3 linked regions of the Tamandua tetradactyla genome follow. The protein of the gene in region 3 binds, or shares a complex with, the protein of the main gene of each other region. Links are inferred from orthologs where the notes say so. Each region holds a gene or a part of one and is shown on either strand. Other genes may lie near its edges.

Region 1 (7,241 bases), on a different chromosome or scaffold from region 3:
AACACATCATCTCCCCCCACCCCATTATGGGGTGAACTGTGTCGTCCAAAAAGACCCACCCAAGTCTGACCCCTGGTTCCGACGATGGATCTGATTTGGAAACAGGGTCTCTGAAGACAGGATTAGTCAAGATAAGGCTAAGCTGGAGGAGGGCAGGCCTGCCCCGACAGGACTGGCGTCCTTATGGGACGAGGAAATGAGGACACACAGACAGAAGGAAGGGACAGAAGATGGCCTCACGGAGACGGGTGCCAAGGGATGGAGCAGAGGCCAGGAGGGCGCCTCACCCAGGCTTCAGAGGGGGCGCGGCCTGTGCTTCCAGCCTTCAGAACAGGGGACAACGGTAAGATTCTATAGTTTGAAATTCCTGGTTTGGGGTCCTTGGTGATGGCAGCCCCTCGAGACCGAGACAGCCCCACTGTGACATTGACCTGGGGAGAGGGCCCAGCACTTCCGTCAGCCTCTCAGAGTTCCTACATGCCTCTGAGGGACAAGAGGCAGCTGAAGAGTCCCAAAAGCTCTACAGACTCAAGAGGAGGCCGATGACAGCGTGCCTGGGTATGGGTCTGCTGCAGTCCCTTTCGTGGGGAATGGAGAAAAACGCCACCAAAATGTGCAAGGCACAGACCCGTTCGCCCAGCAGTTCCATGTCTAGGAATTTACCTCCACTTATACTCTCAAAAGTGCAGAGTTTTCTCTTGAACAGTGTGTTCAAGGAGATTCAAGGCAGCTGTGTATGTACTCGCCAAAAACCCAACCGTCAGTAAGAGTTGCCAGAGCGCAGAGACCCTCAGCAAATGAACGCCATGCAGCTGTTAAATAAATGTGTTGGCTCAGGCAAGTGTCACTCGTACCGAGAGAGGGAAAAAAAAAAAGCCATGAAACCTGGAACCCCTTTCCTTTTCTGTTCACTTGGAAAATGATATTTTTAGGGTTTCCAGCTTCAACAAAGGATGCTCAGTGAAATTTGAATTTCAGAAAAACCACGAACATTTTAGTCTGAGTGGGTCCCACAAGCTTTTATATTGAAAAATAAGTGTGTTCCAAATATTTTTATACTAAAAATTTATTTAAGCAGGGAATGCAAATTCAACAGGGTATACTGTACTATTATTTACTAAACCTGGCAAATCCTGTATTTAACACTCCTTTCTTTTTTTTTTATTAATTAAAAGAATTTAACAAACAAAACATTAAGATATTCCATTCTACATATATAATCAGTAATTCTTAATATCATCACATACTTGCATATTCATCATTTCTTAGAACATTTGCATCGATTTAGAAAAAGAAATAAAAAGACAACAGAAAAAGAAATAAAACGATAACAGAGAAAAAAAGATTATACATACCATACCCCTTATCCCTTGCTTTCATTTACCACTAGCATTTCAAACTAAATTTATTTTAACATTTGTTCCCCCTATTATTTATTTTTATTCCATATGTTCTACTCTTCTGTTGACGAGGTAGATAAAAGGAGCATCAGACACAAGGTTTTCACATTAACACTCCTTTCGAAGCTGAACTCAAAAATGACTTCGGCAAAGAAAAGTTTTTAATCTAAAGCTGAAGATTTGGTATAAGAATGAATTATGGTTACCATGGTTATTAAGTTTTTATCTTACTGTCCATTGCTCTGACGGGTGAGCTAGTTTGCTTGCTCATTTGCATCTTAAACCATCTAAGCATCGAGAGAGGCCAGCCCAGGCCTGGCCCGCAGCAGTGCTCAGTAGATGGAAAACCACACCTTAAAGAAACATCTGCAAATTCCTAGTCCGGAGTGATACCGGGAAGTTACTGACCTGCTGTGTGTCTCCGTTTTCCTCATCCGTAAAAAGGGAAGAGTGGAAAGATCAAAGGTGAAGGTGGAGTTATACAGAGGTCAGGTTTAACAAATGAGTATGACTGTGAATCATTACGCTCGTATTTCTTTTAGTCTCCAGTATCTTAGAGCAGCTAGAAGTACAAGAGCTTAAAATCGTGGAATTGTAACCGATACCAAACCCTGAAATCTGGTCTACAATCCAAACCCTGAAATCTGGTCTACAACTCATTGTTGCAATGTGCTTTGAAATTTATTTTTTGTATATGCTATTTTTCACACACACAAAAAAAGTCAACGGTGATGATAAATGCTCAAGTATATGGTGATATTGTGAACCACTGATTATACACTTTGGATGATTATGAGTATATAATATATATCAATAAAAAATGAATAATTAAAAAGGATCAAAGGAGAATGTGGAGTTATAAAAGAGAAGATAGGATTTAACAAATGAGTATGACTCATGAATCATTATATTGATGTTTCTTTCAGTCTCTGGTGTCTTGGAGCAGCTGGAAGGAAAAACCTGAAATTGTGGAACTGTAACCCATACCAAACTCTGAAATCTGTTCTATAATTGTGTGCTTTGAAATTTAGTGCTTTTTTGTATGTATGTTATTCTTCACAAAAAAAATAAGCACAAATTAAAAAACCAAAAAAAAGGGGGGGGGGGAGTGGCTATCACATCACCCCTGCAGGGTTTTTATAAGGAGCAAAGGAATTAAAGCAGGTTCTGCGTGGGCCATGGAATGATCACTTAAAGTTAGGCCACGCTTAGGGCACCTGCAAGATGGGGTTGCTTTTAGCTGCAGGGTGTGGTGACAGACAAGCCCCGGCACAGGATTTGGACATACACAGCTCGAAAGAGTGCCAATATCCACCTTTATTAACACCTGTAGCTGAGGCTGAGAATCTAGGCCAGGTTTTCGGGCTTCTAGTTCTCCATAAAGTCCCCCCAGCCTTCAACATAAAGCCAGAGCAAAAGATCTGAGCAGAACGATAACGTGAACGGCCAGTGGGCACATGGAAAGATGGTCAACTTCACTAGCTCTCAGGGAAAGCTAATAAAAACTGCAAGGAGATATTACTGCACAGCTGCCCAGATGGCTAGAATCGAAAAGACAGAGGACAGTCCCTGCTGACCCGGACGTGGGAAAACTGGACCTCCCATGCGGCTGCGGGGGGAGGGGAAGGTAAACCGGGGAGTCCCCGCTTTGGAAGTCTAGCAGTTCCTCAAAAAGTTAAACATGGGGATACCACAGGACCCGGCAGTTCTGCAGGAGAGACATGAAAGCTTCCAGCCACCCAGTACCTGCATGCCAATGTTCCTAAAGGGAGCAGGGAAACCACCCAAACGTGTCTGTCAGCTGAGGAAAGGACGGCAGGCCGTGGTCCATTGGCGATGGAGTATCACTCCGGAATAAACATGGACACTGACACGCCACCTCGTGAATGAGCCGCAAACACATCACGCCGAGTGAAAGAGCCAGATTCAAAACATCACACACCGCCCAGTTCCGCGAACACGCAACGCCCAGAACAGGAGGGTCCACAGAGAGAAAGCAGATCTGCGGTGTGCAGGGGCGGGGGTGGGAGTGGGGGCTGCACAGGGGAGAGGCGAGCTCTCCGGGGCGATGTTAAAAAGTTCCCAAGCTGGATTGTGGCGGTGGCGCCACAACTCTCGAGATTCCAAAAAAACAACCGAATTGCATACTTCAAGCAGGTGAATTTTACAGTATGGGAATTCTCTCAACAGAGCTGCTCAAAATGAAATAAACCGACCTCTGAAAACCCTGGCGCCCCTGAGAGCATCCCGGCTTTTGGCGCGACGAGCCCACACTCCCTGTGGGGGAGGGGGGCCCTAGACGGGGAAATGCCCGGCCGCCGCGCGCCCCGCCCCCGAGCGCGCACCCCTCCCCCCGCCACCCCTCTCCCAAGCCCGAGAGCAAAGCTCTTCCGCCGGGCCCGCAGACCTCTGTCCTCGCTGTCCATCCATGGTGGTCGCTGACACGCTTGGCGGGGCGCAGAGGCCTGAGGACACCGTTGCCCCAGGCAACAGCGCCGGGGAGGAAGAGACTACATCTCCCGGCCTGCACCACGCGCCGGGAGCCAATAGCACAACGGGTCATAATTGCTGGGGATGACGGGATTGGTAGTTCCGGGGCGGGTCCGGCGTGCACAGCGGGGCGGGGGGGGGTTCCAATGGCGCGACAGGTCACAATCGCGGGGTGTGTCGGGAGTTGTAGTTCCGCTGCCCGGCGCGGAGGCCGCAGGGAGCGAGGGGGCGGTTGCGAGAGGAGGCGCCGCCCAGCGGCTATGGCCGCGACTCGCGTCTCGCTCTGGGCCGTGTGCGTGTTGCGCGTGGTCCTGGCCACCGTCTACTTCCAGGAGGAGTTTCTAGACGGAGGTGAAAGGGGCGACGCCCCTCGGGGAGGCGTGCGGACCCCTCCCCCGCCACCAGCTGTCCAGCGGGCGGCCGAGTCGCCGTTGGCCCCGGGCTGGACTTCGCGGGGTCCTGGGCGCGAAGTCTCGAAGCTTCGAAGCCTCGAGGGCCCCTCCCCCTCCCCCTCCCTTCCCCCTCCCGCCACCTCCCCTCCCCTCCTCCTCCCCCCCTCCCCCTTACCCAGAGGGGGCCCCCCTCGGCCCTGACCGGTGTCGTTTCCCCCCTTCCCGCCTCGCAGAGCGTTGGAGGAACCGGTGGGTCCAGTCGACCAACGATTCCCAATTTGGGCATTTTAGGCTCTCGTCGGGAAAGTTTTATGGTCATAAAGAGAAAGACAAAGGTTAGTGTAGAAACCATGCTGAATGCCAAAGCCCCCGTGGCAGCCTTTCCGAGCGAGGTGTGGGGGCGCCCCGACCCCTGCCTGCACCCCCTTTACAGGGAGGAAGACCGAGGCCCGGGGAGGAAGGGTCCTCGTTGCCAGTTTTTTTGTTTCTTCTTTCCTTTCCCAAGAGCATCCTAGTGTTTCGTGACCACTCATCAGCTAGGATGATGGGGACCCGTCTGGCCCCACAGAGGGACTTCCCTGCCGCTTTTTGTTTTCCGCGTTAAAAAAGAAAGAAATCGCTGCCCCACGTGTGTGATGTCAAGTGCACAACTCTTCGGGGTTCGAGTTGATGGGTGTTCGCCCCTGTGTGGCCACGGGAGAGGCATCCCTTGTGTCCCTCTCGCAGTTGGCCCCTTTCACCTGCAGCAAGGATAAACTCATTTCTGGTGGTTTTCACCCAAGGTCGGCAATAACCAGCTTGCCTGTCACCTGTTTTTGTACAGCCAGTGAGCCGAGAGTGGTTTTCACATGTTTTTTTAATTGTCGGGGGGAAGAAAAGATCAAAAGGAGGGTGGTATTTTGTGACATGCAGAAATCATGTGAAGGTCAAAGAAATGCATGAAATTTTAGCACCCGTAAAGTCTTTCTGAACACAGCCACATCGTGTGCTTACATGTCTGGGGCTGATTTTCTCACTATAGAGGCAGAGTCCAGGAATTGACCCACAGAGTCTAAGGGGCTACTGGCTGACCCTTTACAGAGAAAGTTTGCCAACCTGTGCTGTAGATGAAAAGTTTTCCCTCTTCTCCACCTTCTGTTCAACCACTGTCTCACCCTGTTATTGCAACGCTGCCCTGTTCTGGCAGCCTCTAGCTTTGGGTGGTATAGGCATTGTTTTGTAAGGTATGCATTGACCTGAATAGCTGGTAAAAGTTGAGGCCATGTAGTAAATAAAGGTGGGATGAAAACTGACAGGTTATTTGATGGAACTTGTCAAGGGAGAGAGGTTTCCATGTAATCTCCTCTGAGTTGTTTCTGTGTCTGTTTTTCACACCCCCCCCCCCCTTTTCTAACATGAAGCCTTTGAGATTCTGTGCATTGTGTTCATTTGTTCGGCATATGGCTGTTGCTGTCAGACACAGGCAAAGCACTTGGGATACCCAGTTAATTTGGTCCCTTCCCTCGTCATCTCCTGGGACCGTGACATTGAAGCCGTGAATCCCAAGATGAGTGAAATTTATCCAGACAGGGATGGGAGGTGGAGAGAGCAAGAGGAGGGTGGCTGCACAACAGGAGAAGGCTGCAAATCAGCTGGCTTGGGAATTGCCTGGGTGGTGCGAGTATGGGAGAGGCTGGGGCTATGGACTCCCTTAGAAACAGAGGGAAGAGGGGTGCCGGTGCGGGGAACACAGTCCTGAGGTTTTGACATAACGAGACAAAACCCCGAGTTCATTTCTGATTTCTCAGCATAGGCAGGTATAGGGGTAAGGCAGGGCATGGAGCAAGGAGGGGTGGACGGAAGGAAGAATGGCTCCACATTCTGACAAGCTCCGGTCTAAGAGAGGGATTTGAAACAGTTCCTAGTGGCTACTGAGAAAGGAAGTTTTTGTTTTGAAGTGAATGCCTAAATTTAGAAAGCACATACTTGGTTATTTGTGCAACAAAACAGATGAGAGCTTGCAGGGGTCTACCCTAGGGCGGTGGGCATTTGAGTACCCACCAGCCACCCCGGGTTTCATGTTCTCATTGGCTCCCCTGTTTCTTAAGTAGCTGTTTGAAGATTGAGAACTGGAGGAAAGGAATAGAACGTTCTGTTTTTCACCCAGCTACCACACAAGCCTCCGGTGTATGTTCTCATGGTCAGGAAGAAGAAAGGGGCCGAATTAACCTCAGGCCCATAGTTAGATGTGTACTTGTCATTTAGAATTGGAGTGTGTTTGTCACTTAAAACACTGCAGTGCTCTGTGAAGGGGAAAAACATCCCTGGCGTGAAGTAGAAGTTCCTTGAGAGCAGAGGGCTGGCTGGTGGTGGTGTCTGAGTTCCCTGTCGCACTGGACTAACTGTTTCTCTCTGGGGTCTGGGGCACCACATCCGTGTACCTTCCCTGCCTCTCTGGGCACAATGCCACTCCCTATCTATCATTAGTACTTTCTGCTTCAAGGTCTGCAAACCACCCAGAATGGCCGATTCTACGCCATCTCTGCCCGCTTCAAGCCATTTAGCAACAAAGGGAAGACGCTGGTCATTCAGTACACGGTGAAGCACGAGCAGAAGATGGACTGCGGTGGCGGCTACCTCAAGGTCTTCCCTGCAGACCTGGACCAGAAGAACCTGAACGGGAAGTCCCCATACTACATCATGTTTGGTGAGTGGTCATGTGGGCAGCACAGCCCCGGCCGCTGTCGGTGGGTGCCCTTCCACCCAGGCCCTCATTAGACCACGGTTTGCTGACGTGGTGTGAGGTCTGTTGGGTGGGTTCAGTCTGTCTGACCTGAGGTTTTTAACACCATTAAATCTAGTTAATTTCATGAGAAGGCAACTGTGCCATTCTCTTGTGCTGTGAAAAAGTTGTTTATCCAGTTTTGGCACAATCCCAAATGCATTGAATTTATCGGGAGGGTGACTGCTGCTCACTGTA
Region 2 (7,601 bases), on a different chromosome or scaffold from region 3:
AAGTACAAAATATACACAATCCAGATCTATCTCCTGAGTCCTGGTGGCATGAATCCAGCTTCTAGGACTGCCCACAGGCCCCTTAATATCCTCCATCACCTCCTACTCTCACAAGTCAAAAGGCTGAAATTCATCCGTGCTTCCCCTGCCATCCCAGCTGTATGCCCTCTACCTTCGGGATGTGATAGCCTGTGCATCCCTTCTCTTGCTTCCAGTACAGACCCTGCCAACTCTTCCCAAAGCTGAGTTGACAACTCACGCATCTAACCATGAGTCTCCCCAGTGCCCCTATGAGATAAAGGCCTGCAAGGCCTTGCAAATTCTGACTCCGCAGCTCTCCCCGACACATTAGCCCCTGAAGTGCCACGGGCACTTCTGTTCTCCTCAATGCACAGACCCGACTCAGCTGCCACCTCCTTCCAGAAGTCTTCTCCAACCCCCAAAGTTGTCATCTCTGGGTTCCCTGTGCCTTCCCCGTCACTCTGGTCACGTAGGGATCTCCCGATTAGACCGAAACCTCCGTGAGGGCAGAAACCGCGACTTCCTAGTCCACCGTCGTATCGCCCTCCCACCCACGAGGCCGACCATGCCTCAGTGTACGTTTGTAGCATGAGTGAACGGTCAACGCGCCCGTGTCCTCATTCATTCGATCCCCGCTGCGAAACCCGAGTAGACACAGATACAAATGGACCTAACCAGCTCCGAGAGGTCTGACCTGAAGGCTTGGCCCCTCCTGGCAAGGGCACGGCAGGTGCAAACGCGCTGAGGACCGACATTACGGGCCCGACCCACCTCACCCAGCGCCTGCAAGCTCTTCACGGCGCCCACCACGGCCTGGTGCTCCAAGCCCAGCTCACGCGCCAGCTCCGCACTGTCCACGCCGCCATCCGCGGCCTCCAGCCGCCGCAGCAGCTGCTCCGCCACGGGACCATCCGCCATGGCTGCTCCCAGGGCACTCGGCGTGGCCGGGGCGCACCAGAGCCACCGGAACCGGAACCGGCGCGAGGGGGGGGGGGGGTGCTGTGCCGCCATCTTGAGTGTGGCGTGGAAGTAGGGCGAGGCTCGGGTGCCGTCATCTTGAGTGTGGCACACTATAGTCAAAAGGGTGGAAGAGACTCCGTCCCCGCCTCCGCCCTAGTACGGATAGTGATGTCTGGTTGACTAGGCAGGTCAATTTCTTGCCCTCAAGGTCAGAAGCACAGCTTTAGTTCGAGATGTCAATCAGCCGTGCCTCCAACGGGCTGCTTGACCTTGGACTTCACCCTGCGGAGGCCTCGTGCCCTGTGCCCTTCTGGAATTATTTTTTGCACTGGGGAGGGCCGTGGGAGGTGGGCTGGAGAGGTGATCACGCTGCTGGTTTCGATTTCTTTTAAATTTTCAAGGGCAGGCTGGGTAGGTACTGGCCCCATTTATAGAAAGGGGAGGTACAAGTCTAATATCAAGTTAGTAGCAGTTAACCTCTGAACTACATCCCGAGTTCCAATGCAATTCTAAATGCTTCGAGTTTATTTCAGGTCTCTACAAATCTCTATAGTGTGAACAGTGATATAATCCCCATTTCACAGATGAGAAAACTGAGGCTCAGGGTGCTCTGTACCAGTTGCCTAAGGTTCAGCAGTGAGTTGGTGAGATGGGGCCAGAAATTATGAACACTCCAGACTCCCCCATCCCACCGCTCCAAGAATCAACCTCAGATAAGGTTCTAGATGAGTGTTGTCCTACGGAAATATAAAGCGAGACACAAATGTAATTTCAAGTTTTCTAGTAGAAGCTTTAAAAAGGAAACTGGTGAAATCATTTTTAACATTTTACATGACCTACCATGTCCAAATTATCTTTTCAATGTAGAAATTAAGAATATCTTCCACACATTAGGAATGTGATTAGTCCCACTAAATTGTACATGTGGGAGTGGGTGAGATGGGGAAGTTCATGATGTATACATGTTTCCACAGTATTAAAAAGAAAGAAAAACAAGAGATGAAAGGGACAATGAAAGAAAAGATACATGGAAATATTAAATATTCAGGGAATATGATGTATACAATTTACTCTCAAATGTTTAGAAAATAGATGAATAGACAGACAGGTGACAGATAGGTATATAGATGATAGAATGATGTGGTAAATAGGGCAAAATGTTAATAGTAAGATCTGGGTATCTGCGTAGGGGGCAATATGTTGGCCATACATAGGGGTTTTGTATTATTTTTGTGACTGTCCTGTAAATTTGGAATTATTTCAAAATGAAACAATGAAGTTTATATAGTGAAAAAACTTTCACATCCTTATACCAAGTCTTTGAAATCTGAAGATTATTTTACACTGACAGCTCATCTCAGTTGGAACCAGCCACATTTCAAATGGCCAGAAGTCGCCTGTGGTTGATGGCAACTGTATTAGGCAGTGCATATAAATTCTAATCTGAGATCTGCCATTTATGTCACTTAGCCCAAATCGCTTACTCTCTCTGTGCCTTGATTTTCTTGCCAAGATTGAGACTATATGAGCCTTGGTTGTTGTCAGAGTTACATGAACTATTCTCACACAAGTATGCAGTAATTGCTAATACCAGTGGACTGTGGACATTGTGTGTCAGGCACTTTTCTCAGCCGTGTGCTTATAGAATGCAGCACTCATCTGAGCCATGTGCTTATAGGATGCACTGGCTCATTTAACCATTGCAATTATTGTTTGAATCTATAAAGTGAGGTTACAAACATCCCCCAATCTGGGTTCTATCTGCCTCTAAAGGCTACAGTGAGGTCTTAAGACAAATTCAAGAGACGTCCCCCAATGTCCCTTTCACTTCAGCTTTGAAGCACTTTCTTGGTTTGGGTTTATTTAATTCCTACAGTAATTCTTCTAGTGTTTCTTTGATGCAGCCACCCCTCCTTTCTTCATGCAGGAAGTATTTTTTTAAGTCTGCTCTGCAGCAGGTGTTGCAGGAGACAAGGGACAGTGAGATGAATGACAGCCCATTTTCTGCCCAGGACACCGAGAACAGGAGAGAAGGGGGCGGGGTGGGGATCAGTGGCAGGCCTGGTATGGTCACCTGGATTTCTGCTTTCTCTGGAGGGGGGGTTCAGGTTAGGTAATGGTGGATACTGCCCCGGGGGTAGGGGCAGGACCCCAACTTCTCCAAGGCTCCTCATTCCTCCCCTTCCAGGGTCCCCACCACTAGAGGGTAAGCACCCCCTTTGCCCTTTTCCCAGAATTCCCCCCTTTCCCCAGTCCGCTTCCACCTTCCCAGTTCCTGAGCCAGTTTGCTTCAGAGCTTGGAAAACCCCTAGCCCTCCTGCCTTCCTCCTCCATGCAGCCTGGGGGCAGGGAATTGGTGTCAGTCCTGTGTCCCTAGCTTCCTGGGAAGACTTTAGACCCATGGGTCCTACGCACCTCCCTTGGACCTTATCTTCCCCACCATCTGTTTATTTCTTTTCTTCCCCAACGGAACCCCCTACCCTCCTGCCCTTAGCCGTTTAATTGCAAAAGCCAGGCCGTTTGTGGGAAACCACAAGACAGCGACCCCTTTCATTGACAAGCTGAGTGGGGAGTAAAGAGACCCCACCCACCCACCCTCGGAGCCTCAAGCCACATCTTCCAGCTTTCTGGGCTTCCTCCTTTCAGTTCCAAGACCTCTCTAAAGGCTTTTAAAGCATTTCTGCTGGGCAGTAGCTGGCCAGGGCGTCCTTCCCGGTCTCTCAGGAGTTCCTGTCACTTCAGAGGGGCTAGGTGACATGCCCCAGGGCACGCAGTAGCAGGCATGGGCGGGCGAGGTGACATGTACCAGGGCGCCTGGGCGGGCGAGGAAGAGGGCGCGGACACCGTCCCTGCTGAACGGCATGGCTGTCTCCTCGGCACCGGGGCGCAGGGGAGCCCCAGGACCTCAGCACCTGAGCTCTGCCTGCCGCCCTCTGCTCCATGTGGGAACGGGGCAGGGTGGAGAACATAGAAAAAGCTTCAGGGTGGGCTTCCCCAAACGCAGGGCGGAATGTTGCTAGGAAGCTGCGACAACCTCTCCGGGCAGCGAGGCTGGGTAAGGAGCGAGGCAGGGGCCGAGGCAGGAGGTGAGGTAACACTGCTCCCCGCGCAGGCTCTTTAAACGCCAGAGAACAAGAAACGCGCGAGAGTTACGGCGGCGCGGGGAAGAGGGTTGGTCACATGACCCGGCCCGGCGGGCTCGCGGCCCCCACCCCACCGGTGGGCGTCCCCCGCAACGCGTGGTGGGCCTTCATTGGCCGGTAGCGCGGCCAATAGAAATCGGCCATCTGGGAACCCTTCGTTCCGAGGCACAGCCGAACCTGCTGGGCCGACAAGGGTCCAATGAAAAGAGACGTCCGTGGGCACGGACCAATGAGAAGGCACGGGGGTCCGGACCAGGTTGGCTTGAGGGGCGGGCGGGTATAAAAGCCGGCGGCCGGCCGCGGCGTCCGTCCCCGCTGCAGAACGGCTGCCGGACGTGCTACTTAAAGGGACTGTGCGCCGCCGCCGCCGCCGCCGCCGCCCCCTCGGCTCGCCATGCTGCTATCGGTCCCGTTGCTGCTCGGCCTCCTCGGCCTGGCCGCAGCCGAGCCTACCGTCTACTTCAAGGAGCAGTTTCTGGACGCAGGTAACGCCTGGTCCCGCCCGAGGCCGCCCCGACGACGCGGCAGGGTCCCCCCCCCCCCCCGTCCCCCAGCCTCCGGATCTGCGCTGTCGCCTGTAATTATCTCTGAGAGGGCCAACACGGTGGCCCCCGGGGACCGGAGCCGCGGGCGGTCCCTCCTCCTGCCTCTCTGGGGAGCGTGGAGGTCGCAGCGGCCTCCCACAGCCGGGTTTCGCCCCAGAATCGCGTTAAGTTACCTGAGGTGTCAAACCTAGAGGTTGAGTGGAGGGCGGGATCGGAGGAGGACCCGAAACCAGTTCTTGGTCTCGCTCAACTATTGGGAGTGGGGGTGGGGTGGCTTAGCACGGTTCCCTTGACTTGCTCCTCTGCACCCCCCCAGATGGGTGGAAGGACCGCTGGATCGAATCCAAACACAAATCGGATTTTGGCAAATTCGTTCTCAGTTCTGGCAAGTTCTACGGCGACCAGGAGAAAGATAAAGGTAAGAGCTGGCGGATAGATCCCCGAATCCAATGGGGGGGGCTGCCTAATGAAAGCTGGTTGCCTCACAGAGCTCAGGCATCCCCAGAAACAGGACAGAGGGAAGGAGTGAGGGTTGGGGTCAGTTGTCCTCGGGGCATAGGGTTTTTGGGGTAGGGGCTAAGGCATGACCCCATCGCTGTGTTTTACCAGGGCTGCAGACCAGTCAGGATGCCCGCTTTTATGCCCTGTCCACTCGGTTCGAGCCCTTCAGTAACAAGGCCCAGACACTGGTGGTGCAGTTTACTGTGAAGCACGAGCAGAACATTGACTGCGGTGGCGGTTACGTGAAGTTGTTTCCTGACAGTCTGGACCAGACGGACATGCATGGCGACTCGGAGTACAACATCATGTTCGGTGAGGGGCCCGCTCTGGTGCTTGACATCTATCCCCTTCGTCAAAGGGAGACTGAGACCCAACGGTTTCCTTAGGTAGTGAGAGGTGGTTCTGACAGCACAGAACGAGTTTAAAAAATCAAACTTTTAGAAGGGTTGCCGAGGGGGGAGTTATAGTACAGCAACTTTAAAATTTTCATTGCTGGTTTGCAGACAGGTGTGATCCCATGTGCTTTTCTCTTGGTTTTATAAGTGTAGATACTTGGTTACAGGAATTTTTAGACCGCTGCATTTTTTTTTTTTTTTTTTTAAAGGAAAGACAGAGAGAAGGAAGGAAGGAAGGAAGAAAGGGAAACATTTTTAAACATTTTCTTGTTTTATTGTATTCTGTTTCTCCGTTTTTGTTACATGGGCTGGGGCCGGGAATCGAACCGAGGTCCTCCGGCATAGCAGGCAAGCACTTTGCCCGCTGAGCCACCGCGGCCCGCCCTAGACCGCTGCATTTTTAAGAAACAAGTTTCCTTTTCGTAAAGAGGAATTGAGGGCTTGCAGTGGTGGGCAGCTTCTGGCTTCTGACCACACCTGCTTCCCACCTAGGACCCGACATCTGTGGTCCCGGCACCAAGAAGGTTCATGTCATTTTCAACTACAAGGGCAAGAACGTGCTGATCAACAAGGACATCCGTTGCAAGGTGTGTCTGAGGGGTGGGGTGGGGGTTGGTGGGGGGAAGGGCAGGAATCCGGGAGGGCGGGACTGCTCACCTCCCACCCTCCTCAGGATGATGAGTTCACACACCTGTACACACTCATCGTGCGGCCCGACAACACGTACGAGGTAAAGATCGACAACAGCCAGGTGGAGTCGGGCTCCCTGGAGGAGGACTGGGATTTCCTGCCCCCCAAGAAGATTAAAGATCCCGATGCCGCCAAGCCAGATGACTGGGATGAGCGGGCCAAGATTGATGACCCCACAGACTCCAAGCCCGAGGTTGGTGCCTGGACAGGGACCACCACTGTGAAAGGGGTGGTGGACATGTGGGCTCACTCTGATGTCCTCGTGGTTCCCCGACTCTCCCCCCCTAGGATTGGGATAAGCCTGAGCACATCCCCGACCCTGATGCAAAGAAGCCTGAGGACTGGGACGAAGAGATGGATGGAGAGTGGGAACCGCCAGTGATTCAGAACCCTGAGTACAAGGTGAGCTTGGGTTCCAAGTAAGGGCTGGGGTACAGGGTGGGGAGGGCACCGGCCTCTGTTCACCATGCCATTCTCTTCTTCCCCAGGGCGAGTGGAAGCCCCGACAGATCGACAACCCAGATTACAAAGGCAAGTGGATCCACCCAGAGATCGACAACCCTGAGTACTCCCCTGACGCCAACATCTACTCCTACGACAGCTTCGCTGTGCTGGGCCTGGACCTGTGGCAGGTGCGACCCAGAGTGGGAGGAGGATCCTGGGGGCACCTCAGGTCACCTGCGAGGGAAGGGACAGGGTAGGATTCAGACCCAGGCAGGCCCGACTGGAAAATGCTTTGAGAGCCCTGTTGCTGTGAGGCCCTTCCTGAACCTTTACAGTCCTAAAGGCACTTATTGAGTGCCAGGGCTCTCCCTGAGTACCTGTCATTCCCTCCACCAATCTCGGGGGTGGTCAAGCAGCCCTGTTAGAAAACTTTGCTTTGCTAGCAGTGGCAGAAATTTGAAGTCGCCAGCCTAAGGCCATACAGGCGGGAAGGGGCAGAGCTGGATTGGAACCCACCCCTTGTGGGTCTCGCAGCCCCCATTTTTTAACTGCAACTTTAGCTGTGCTGCTTGGTCCATGAGGTGCTTCTTGACTGCTGCAGAGATGCGGCGGCATCTAGTGGTTACAGGAGCACCGCGGGTGGGAGTTTTCCCAAGGCCAGGGCCGTCTTGGGTAACCCACTCCTCACTCCATTCACCCCCAGGTCAAGTCTGGCACCATCTTTGATAACTTCCTTATCACCAACGATGAGGCGTACGCCGAGGAGTTCGGCAACGAGACGTGGGGTGTCACGAAGGTAGGATCGGGCTCCCCCTACCCAGGTTTGAGGGAGCAGACGCAGGGCTGGCGAGTGGGGCCTGGGCACTGAGGCAAAGGCTCTGTCCCCCACAGGCTGCAGAAAA
Region 3 (7,822 bases):
GGGGGGCGCACATGGGTAGTTCAGTGGTAGAATTCTTACCTGCCACTGGTCTGATACCCCCCCAAGCACTTCCCCTACCCCCCACCCCCACCCCCCAAAATTCAACAAATGGTACTGCAATGATGGGTACTCACATGGAAGAAGAATGAAATGTGACCCCCACCATACAGCATACAAAAAAAAAAAAAGCTACAGAGGCAGTCACAGGAAGGAGCAGCAGATACCAAATCTTTACTTTTAAAATATATATCTCACGCAACAGACATACAATAAATGTTAGGTCTCTGCCCCTTTCCTTCTCTTTCAACCCAGTGTATGTTTAAAAGAAGGACCCCTGTACTTTGCTCCTGTGCTGGGATATCCACTGGCCTACCTCACACATGCTAAAGCTATTAAATACAGGACACCATTTTAAATGTGATTACTAAAACCAAATAATGCCAAAAAAGCTTAAAAATACGTCACACAAAAATGTGGTAGGATAAGGCTATTTTGGTAAGATAGTAAACATTACTATGGCAATAAAAAGGATGGATAAGATAAAAACCAAAGGACTATGGCAGACTTTCTTCTTTTTGAGCTTATTTTTGTAATGAATCTGCAGCTTCTGTAATAACAAAAATAAACAGTTATTTAGAAAAATAAACCATTTCACTGTGTACCTGTTATACTGCAGGCACTCTCATGTTACTGCCCTGAAGCTGAATTACCATCATGTGAGAGAGACACTTATTTTCTCCATTTTGCAGATGACAATAAAACTGAGACCCAGAAAAATTAGACTTGACTAAGGTTATATACCTAATAAGTGATGGAGCAAGGTTGCAGTCCAGGCCTTTTAAGCTCAAGCCATTTTCACTTTTCATTTCTTCACATCACAAAGAGCAAACTGTTATTGTTCATGATATTATGAAGAAAAAGCCTGTGGTGAGACCTTTATTTTTTTCAATGTTTTTTTAATTGAAGAAAACAAGCAATATACTTACACTTAGAACCACCAAAAATGGCTATCTTAGTTAGCTTAACCATAGGCATATTTAAATAAGTATCCATATAATCGTTGTAAAACCTGTGTTTGTGTAGTAAGTTTAAAATTTAAAATTAAGGCAACAAGAAGAAAATCTACAAATTCACATAGCAAGGTTCTCAAATTCTAAGTATTAAACACTAACTTAGATATCATTTGATCAGCTTCGAAACTGTGAATGTTCTCAAAATATAATAGAAAGTTCTTACAAATATCTGCAATGCTATAGTAATGACCTATGTTACTAAATATTTTCCTGATTTCAGGAAAATATGAAATTGAAAATACTTTTACAGTTTACATATGGAATCTTAACCACCTAAAATGGGTATCTTAGCTTATCCACAGGCCTACATGTGGTGAGACTTTTAAGAGCACCTGCTCTGTAACCTTGGATAACTCATATAACTGCTGGGGACTACAGTTTCCTCATCTGATAAGCGAGAGGGCTGGAAAAGATATTCAACTTCTAAAAGCCCCTCCTGCTAAATGATTTTAAGTCTAGGCACTACCTTGAGAGAAGCAAACCCTACAAGAATTAATCGATGGGGAGAAGCTGAGGCTATATCCTGGGCCAAGAGCCATTCTCGATGGGAACAGGTGATGGGAAGTCATGAGGAGCGAACCACTGGAAGAACCATAAACTTCCTAGTTAAAGCAGCAGCTGAAAACATAAGTTTTGCTTTACTAACAGCACTGCTTCAATCTCAGGATCAAAATCCACATAAACAGTAAGTAAAATTAGAAAAACAAATTGGCATGGGGGAAAGACTATTACTGGAGCAATAGTTTATATGTGCTCAGTGGTTTTCCAAGTGGACTCATTAATGGTAAAAATGAAAGCACCCTGGGTGATTCTACAGAGACGCCTTCATCCTTACCAAGGATTTAAGAAGCTGGGACTTGCCTAGCACTCTAAGAGATGCTACCCTTGAGGAAAAGGGCCTACCAACAGTTGTCAAAAATGTGAAAAACGCAATTAAAGCCTCCGCAATCCACAGAGGATCAAAACCAGTGAAAAGACCTTTAAGAGGTGAAATTTCTGTGAAGGATTCACTGGGTGTTTGTAGCCACTTACACTGCAGACGTTATAAAGCCCTCTAATGCTCCTTCAGAACTGTTATTTGGCCTTTTTACTCGCGGGTAATAAACGCACAGAATTACTCTGCTAGCGAGAAGGAGATTCCATTTTGCTGAAACAGGCTCCGACACAATCTCACCACCTTCCCCCCAACCGCGGGGGTGAGCCTACACCAGTGGGGAGCTTCCTAGGGCCTGTGCGATGGTCTTGGAGAATTAAAGCATCGAGCCCGGAGAACCAGGACCAAGGAAGCACCGGCTGCAAAGCCAAAGCCGCATCTCCGGCGAAGCAAGCGCTCCGGGGTGCGAGATTCCAGCCCCGCCGCTAGGCCGGGACTGGGTGGACACCCGACGTGGGGGAGGGCCGGCCAAGGCCCGGCGGACGCGGGGCGCAGAACCGGGGGCTCCCGAGGATCCTGAGAAGGGCGGCGGTCCGGCGGCCCGACCCGGCACCGAGAACACGTGGGGCGAGGGGCGGGGAAGGGGTGTCCGCGCCGGCAGCCCGGGTCCGGCTCGGCGGCCGGGCGGAAGCGGAGATGCCCCTGGGCAAGGAGCGAGGCCCTTTGGCCCCGGACCGGGAGAGAGGAGGCAAAGCCGCGAGCAGCGCGGGTCTCCCGGGACGCGGCGCACGCGCCGGGCAGGCGCGCGGGGCCCGGGCAGCCGAGGACCCCCACACGAGGAAGGAGATGGCAAACCAGGCCCGGGGGCGCGGGGGACGAGCCGCGGCCGCGCGCGGAGGACCCTGTGAACCGGGGCCGCCCGGCCCGGACCCGCCCCGCGGCGCCTCCCTCTCCCTCCCTCCCGCCCGCGGCCCGTTATCCGCGGCCGCTGCACTCACCAGCGGCTGCACCTGAGCCCGCCGCTGCCTCCGCTGCTGCCTGCGCCTCCGCAGCCGCCGCCGCCGCCTCGCTCCTGAGGCCGAGTCCCGTGGGAGCCTCCTCGTCCCGCCGCCGCCGCCGCCGCCGCTGCCGCCAGAGCAGAACACCCCAAAATGGCGGCACTTCCGGCACCTACCACCGGCGGGAGGGCCGGGAGGGGGCGCGAAGGGAATGTACCACCGCGGCGCCCGCAGCCCGGCCGGGCCGAGCGCGCAGGGGCGGGCCGGGCGTCGGCGCTGCAGCGCCCCCTCGGGCGGGGGCGGGGGGCCGCAGCGACGCGGGCGTTGGGCGGCTGGCGGAAGGTCCCGCGGGGAGGACCCGCCGGGGTGCAGCCCTTTGTCTCCGAGCTTGGCTGGGGGCGAGGGAAGACCCCGGCCTGGGGGTCTGGAGCGCGAGATCTGCGGCCTCTGCTGGGCGGCCCGCCCGGCCCCGCGCTGAAGCTGCGCGTGATCCGGCAGCGAGGAATGAATGCGGGAGGGAGCGCTCTCGGCCAGCCCCGGGCACGTGGCCCACTGCCCTTTGCCCAGCGAACAGCGGCCGGATCCAGGCCGGTCCCCTTCGGTGCAGGTGTGTGGAATGTGCGCGGTTGCAGAGTTAATGATGACACCGCGTGCACGCACAGCCTCGCAGAAATGCCTGCAAGGCCAGCGAGCCCAGAAGGGGTCTACCAAGACAAGATTGCCTGGCCCTGAGCAGCTTTTCCCAGATCTTTTTTTTTTTTAACAGCCCAGGTGGGGTTCCTGAAGACTTCCTTCGGAGTGACTCGGAAATCTCAGGGTGTAAGCGGAATGCAAACAATATAACAATTGTTTTAATGTAATTTTATTGAGGTGCATTCACACAGGGTAAAATCCAGCCAAAGTATACAAAGGCTCACGGTATCATCACATAGTTCATCACCGCCTTCAATTTTTTTTTTTAATCATCACATAGTTGTATACTCATCACCATGACCATTTTTAGAACATGTGCATCACTCCAGAAAAATAAATAAAAAGAAAAAATCCCTACGTCCCATACCGCCTACACCTTCCTCTCATTGACCACTAATATTGCAATTACCCAATTTTTTTACCCCTCATCCCCCTATTATTTAATTATTGATTCAAAGTTAAAAAAAAAAAAAAAGCGACATTCTTTATCCCGCAGGTTCCAGAACTTGTGAATCAATGAAATACAGATAGAGAAAAACTTAGTTCTGGGACTTTTTGGCCACACCAACGTGCAAATAACTCATGGGTTTGTAAATTATTTCTCTTACATCATCTGGCTTCCCAGAGCAAATAATTTTCATACCCACAAATACTGATTATAGCCTACTTTACCACAAAAAGCAACAAGTGGGCACCCGAGCAGAAGCCTCCAGGGTTTTCCATGTATTGGAAGGACCTCACTCCACTTCCCCGGGGTGTGTGGGGTGGGGGCAAACCAGCTACAGTTTTTCTGGTCGGTGTACATGGGACAATTAGCCCCTAGTTTGTACACTATCATATTCCCTAATTGAACTGTATCATTTATCATTTTATATCTACATAATCCTGATAGATGAACTTGTTCTTGTTAATGGCTTTATGTGTAATTTACTGAAAGCCTCCTGTATTTATAGACCGTTATAGTTTTATAGCATGCCACATATATTATCGCAATTAATTTTATATTTGTCTCCCAGCTGCCATGGACTGCAGAGACTTTGCCTCATTGTTTTCCGGGCTGTGGTGTCATCCAGACACCCGTAGGGCTCACCTCCTTTACCTTCCCTGACCGCCCTAGTTAAAATTACACGCCCACATCCACCCTTCCAATCCCCTTTCTTGCCTTATTTATGTCCAAAGTACTTATCACCATTTGACATGATGTATCTTGTACTTATAAATTAGCTATTTTGTTTCATTTGTGGTCTCCCCCACCAGAAGGGAAACTCTATGGGGTTGGAGACTTGGTGTTTTATTTCGCCTCCGGGTGTGCAGGACGCCGCGGCAGGAGTGGAGCGCAGCCGGCGGCCCCTGCAAGCGCTGGCCGTGGAAAGGTTGGGAAGCTCTCCACGGCTTCCTTGGGCGCGCCTGTGAGCTGGGTGAGGGCGCGGCCGCGAGTGTCCTCAGGCCCGACACGGCGCCCGCCAGGGCCGCGGGGGGAGGAAGGCAGGGACACGCCCGGGGTCGCCTCCGGCCCGCGCCCGCTCCCGCCCTCCTCGGGCGTCGCGGGAGAGCCCGGCCTTACACCCTGAAGCCGGGAACCCAGGCGGGGCTCCGCCGCCCAGGCAGCCCGCGCGAGAGCGACGGCAGCCCCCGCAGCTGGACGTGGGAGGTGCGGAAGTAGCCGCGCGCCCTGCGGTGTCCGCGCGTCCCGGGAGCCTGGGCCCCGCGCCCCTCGGCAGCGCCCCGCGGCCCCGCGCTGCTTCCCATAGCTGTGCCGCTGCGCCGGGGCGCCCTTGTCGGAGAGGAAATGCCAGTCCTTGCGGGGGCTTCGCTAGGGTCCCTCTCGCATAAGGTACCCGGGAAGCCACAGCCGTGAGCTCAGAGCTGGCAGGGGAAAAACAGTTACGTGGAGAACAAAAACAGGCTCCCATAACTTCAAAGGCTTTCGCCAGCACAGGCCAAATACCAAACAGCTTAATGATCAAAAAAAGCCTGATGTGACATTAAAAAGAGAATGTAAAGCTCTGTTTCATTTTTCGCTTTCCCAATCGATAAAGATTTGTTCTGCCCAAGTGCTGGTACAAGTAACACTCACATCATCTTTCTGGAGAATTAGAAATTTTGTGCACTTTTCCAGAATGTATCCTAAGGAAATAGTCGCGGGTAAGTACAGAGCCGTAACATTATTTCAAAAGCACAAAATTGGATAGACAAGGAGATTGAGCAAATAAATCATGATATAATCACAGCCTAAGATATTATACGTAATTTCAAATAATGATAAAATATCTATGTGAGAAAATCTTCAGGATACATGACTCGTGAAAAAAGCGGGTAACAATAAGTACAATATGAATCCAATCTGTAATAAAACACATTTAAATCCTTGATCCTGCTCTAATGTTTGTGTATGGGGTCCGATCTGTCTTTTCTTTTTCTTCTTTTTCCATGTGGATATCCAGTTGATTCAGCACCGTTTGCAAAGACCATCTTTTCTCTACTGTGACTTGCTGTTTTTTAATTCTCATGCATTGTCGTTGAGAATGAGAATTGATATAACCTCTTTGGAAGACTGTTTGACAGCATTTAGCTATTTTGCTAAAGCTAAATAGCTCAATAAACTCTTACCTTATGATGCAATTCTACTCACAGCAGAATATTTATTTTTACCAAAAGAATGGGGTAGCAGCATTTTAATAACAGCCCACATTGGAAAAAAGGACTAAATTACTGAATATTCTAATAATGGAATATTTATGTCAGTGAAAAGGATCACACTGTTGTTCCTACACCCCCTGGGATGAATTGCACAGTCACAAACATTGAGCAAGGCAAGCCCAAAACAAAAAAGCATGTATGACATGTGGAAGTCAGGTTCATGTGTCACCTTTGCCAGGTGATGGTGACCAGTTGTCTGGTCTCAGGCAAGCGCTGGCTTGACTGTTACTATGAGGACATTTCCTGAACTTGACTCATCAGTGAGTGAATTACATTTATGGTGATTGCATCTGCAGTCAGCTACGAGTGCTGTCTTCCCAATGACAGACATTTAATCCTGTCAGTTGTAAGTTTTTCAGGGAGAGGTGATAAATTCAGCAGTCAGAAGAGAGAACTTTTTGTCTCTACTATAGCCAGCCAGCCTCTCCTGGGGAATCCTACGGAATTTGGACTGGTATATCCCCGTAGTTGTGGGAGACATTTCTGTAAGATCTCATATTTACACATATTTCCTATTGGTTCTGTTTCCTACGAGAACCCTGACTACTACAGCTTGGTACCGAGAGCGGGGTAGTTCTTGAGAAACAGAATCTTAACAATGGGGTTTTGCAATTGGTTTTCTAGTTTGATTAGATTCAAAGGCACTGATGAGTCTATTTCCAATAATCAAGGTGGCACTGACAGTCCATGGCGCGGGGTGGCAATACAGATACGATATGCAAAACATCTCCATTTGTTTCTGCTAATCATTCGCTTATATGAGGCAAGACTCTGGGTGACAGTGTTTTTGACACCTTAACAGTTTGTGGAGTTATAATGATGTTGACTGGCTGGTCCTAGATAGGCTGGATACAATTAGAAAGGGATGAACCGAAGGCTTCAAATTTGCAGCTTAAGTGCCATATGAAAGATGTTAAGTTTCTACGTGTGCCCTGAAAGAACATCTTGTTTCCTTTGGTCGCAGACTTGAGATCTCTGAAAACCAGACTCAAAAGTCTCCTTGTGCAAGCAGATTTACAATGCAAACCAAATTCTCAACCTTGCAGGGTGTCTGCTGTGAAAGTGAGGGCATTAATTGGAACAGGATGGGCTGCTGACACTTGGGCCGGGGACACATGGGTTGACAACGATGGCAGTGGGGACACTGAAACCCTGGATTCTGGTGAGTCCCTGCTAGATAAACCTGTAATGGACTGCCCTGAGGAAGGAGCCACCCAGCCTCCAGCCTGCCCTAAGGAAACAGCTTGCTGACTTCCAGTCTGCCACCCAACCTCCACCAGAAGAGATTAACCCTTTACTGCCTGCTAACCCTGTAATCACCTCCCCCTAGAGAAACAGCCCTCACGCCTCTGTCTGGAGAGACAAATCCTGTTTCACCAGATGAAACTGCAAGGAGAATGCCCTGGAGTAATTGGCTTGAAAGACACTTCTCATTCTTTTCATCACCCACCACCACTCCCCAGCTTTTCTTCCCAGCCTATAAC

What was found. Proteins that work in one complex are often made in the same cells at the same time.
Region 1: CELF1 (region 3) and CALR3 share a complex: the UniProt entries of both Homo sapiens proteins name them as parts of the EIF2 complex. The link is inferred for Tamandua tetradactyla from reciprocal best matches to the Homo sapiens genes CELF1 and CALR3.
Region 2: CELF1 (region 3) and CALR share a complex: the UniProt entries of both Homo sapiens proteins name them as parts of the EIF2 complex. The link is inferred for Tamandua tetradactyla from reciprocal best matches to the Homo sapiens genes CELF1 and CALR.

Annotation. Positions count from the first base shown.
Region 1 is NC_135337.1:95,052,399-95,059,639, reverse strand, and holds the start of CALR3 (calreticulin-3), read left to right. Parts: upstream 1-4,064; 5' UTR 4,065-4,150; coding exon 4,151-4,241; intron 4,242-4,515; coding exon 4,516-4,617; intron 4,618-6,764; coding exon 6,765-6,968; intron 6,969-7,241. Other genes in the region: C11H19orf44 (uncharacterized protein C19orf44 homolog), read right to left, coding at 3,808-3,830. UniProt on the Homo sapiens protein: During spermatogenesis, may act as a lectin-independent chaperone for specific client proteins such as ADAM3. Required for sperm fertility. CALR3 capacity for calcium-binding may be absent or much lower than that of CALR.
Region 2 is NC_135337.1:89,722,958-89,730,558, reverse strand, and holds the start of CALR (calreticulin), read left to right. Parts: upstream 1-4,424; 5' UTR 4,425-4,518; coding exon 4,519-4,609; intron 4,610-4,985; coding exon 4,986-5,087; intron 5,088-5,278; coding exon 5,279-5,482; intron 5,483-6,057; coding exon 6,058-6,152; intron 6,153-6,238; coding exon 6,239-6,448; intron 6,449-6,543; coding exon 6,544-6,657; intron 6,658-6,743; coding exon 6,744-6,887; intron 6,888-7,402; coding exon 7,403-7,495; intron 7,496-7,590; coding exon 7,591-7,601. Other genes in the region: FARSA (phenylalanine--tRNA ligase alpha subunit), read right to left, coding at 793-939. UniProt on the Homo sapiens protein: Calcium-binding chaperone that promotes folding, oligomeric assembly and quality control in the endoplasmic reticulum (ER) via the calreticulin/calnexin cycle.
Region 3 is NC_135334.1:124,238,738-124,246,559, forward strand, and holds the start of CELF1 (CUGBP Elav-like family member 1), read right to left. Parts: upstream 3,036-7,822; 5' UTR 2,946-3,035; intron 1-2,945. UniProt on the Homo sapiens protein: RNA-binding protein implicated in the regulation of several post-transcriptional events. Involved in pre-mRNA alternative splicing, mRNA translation and stability.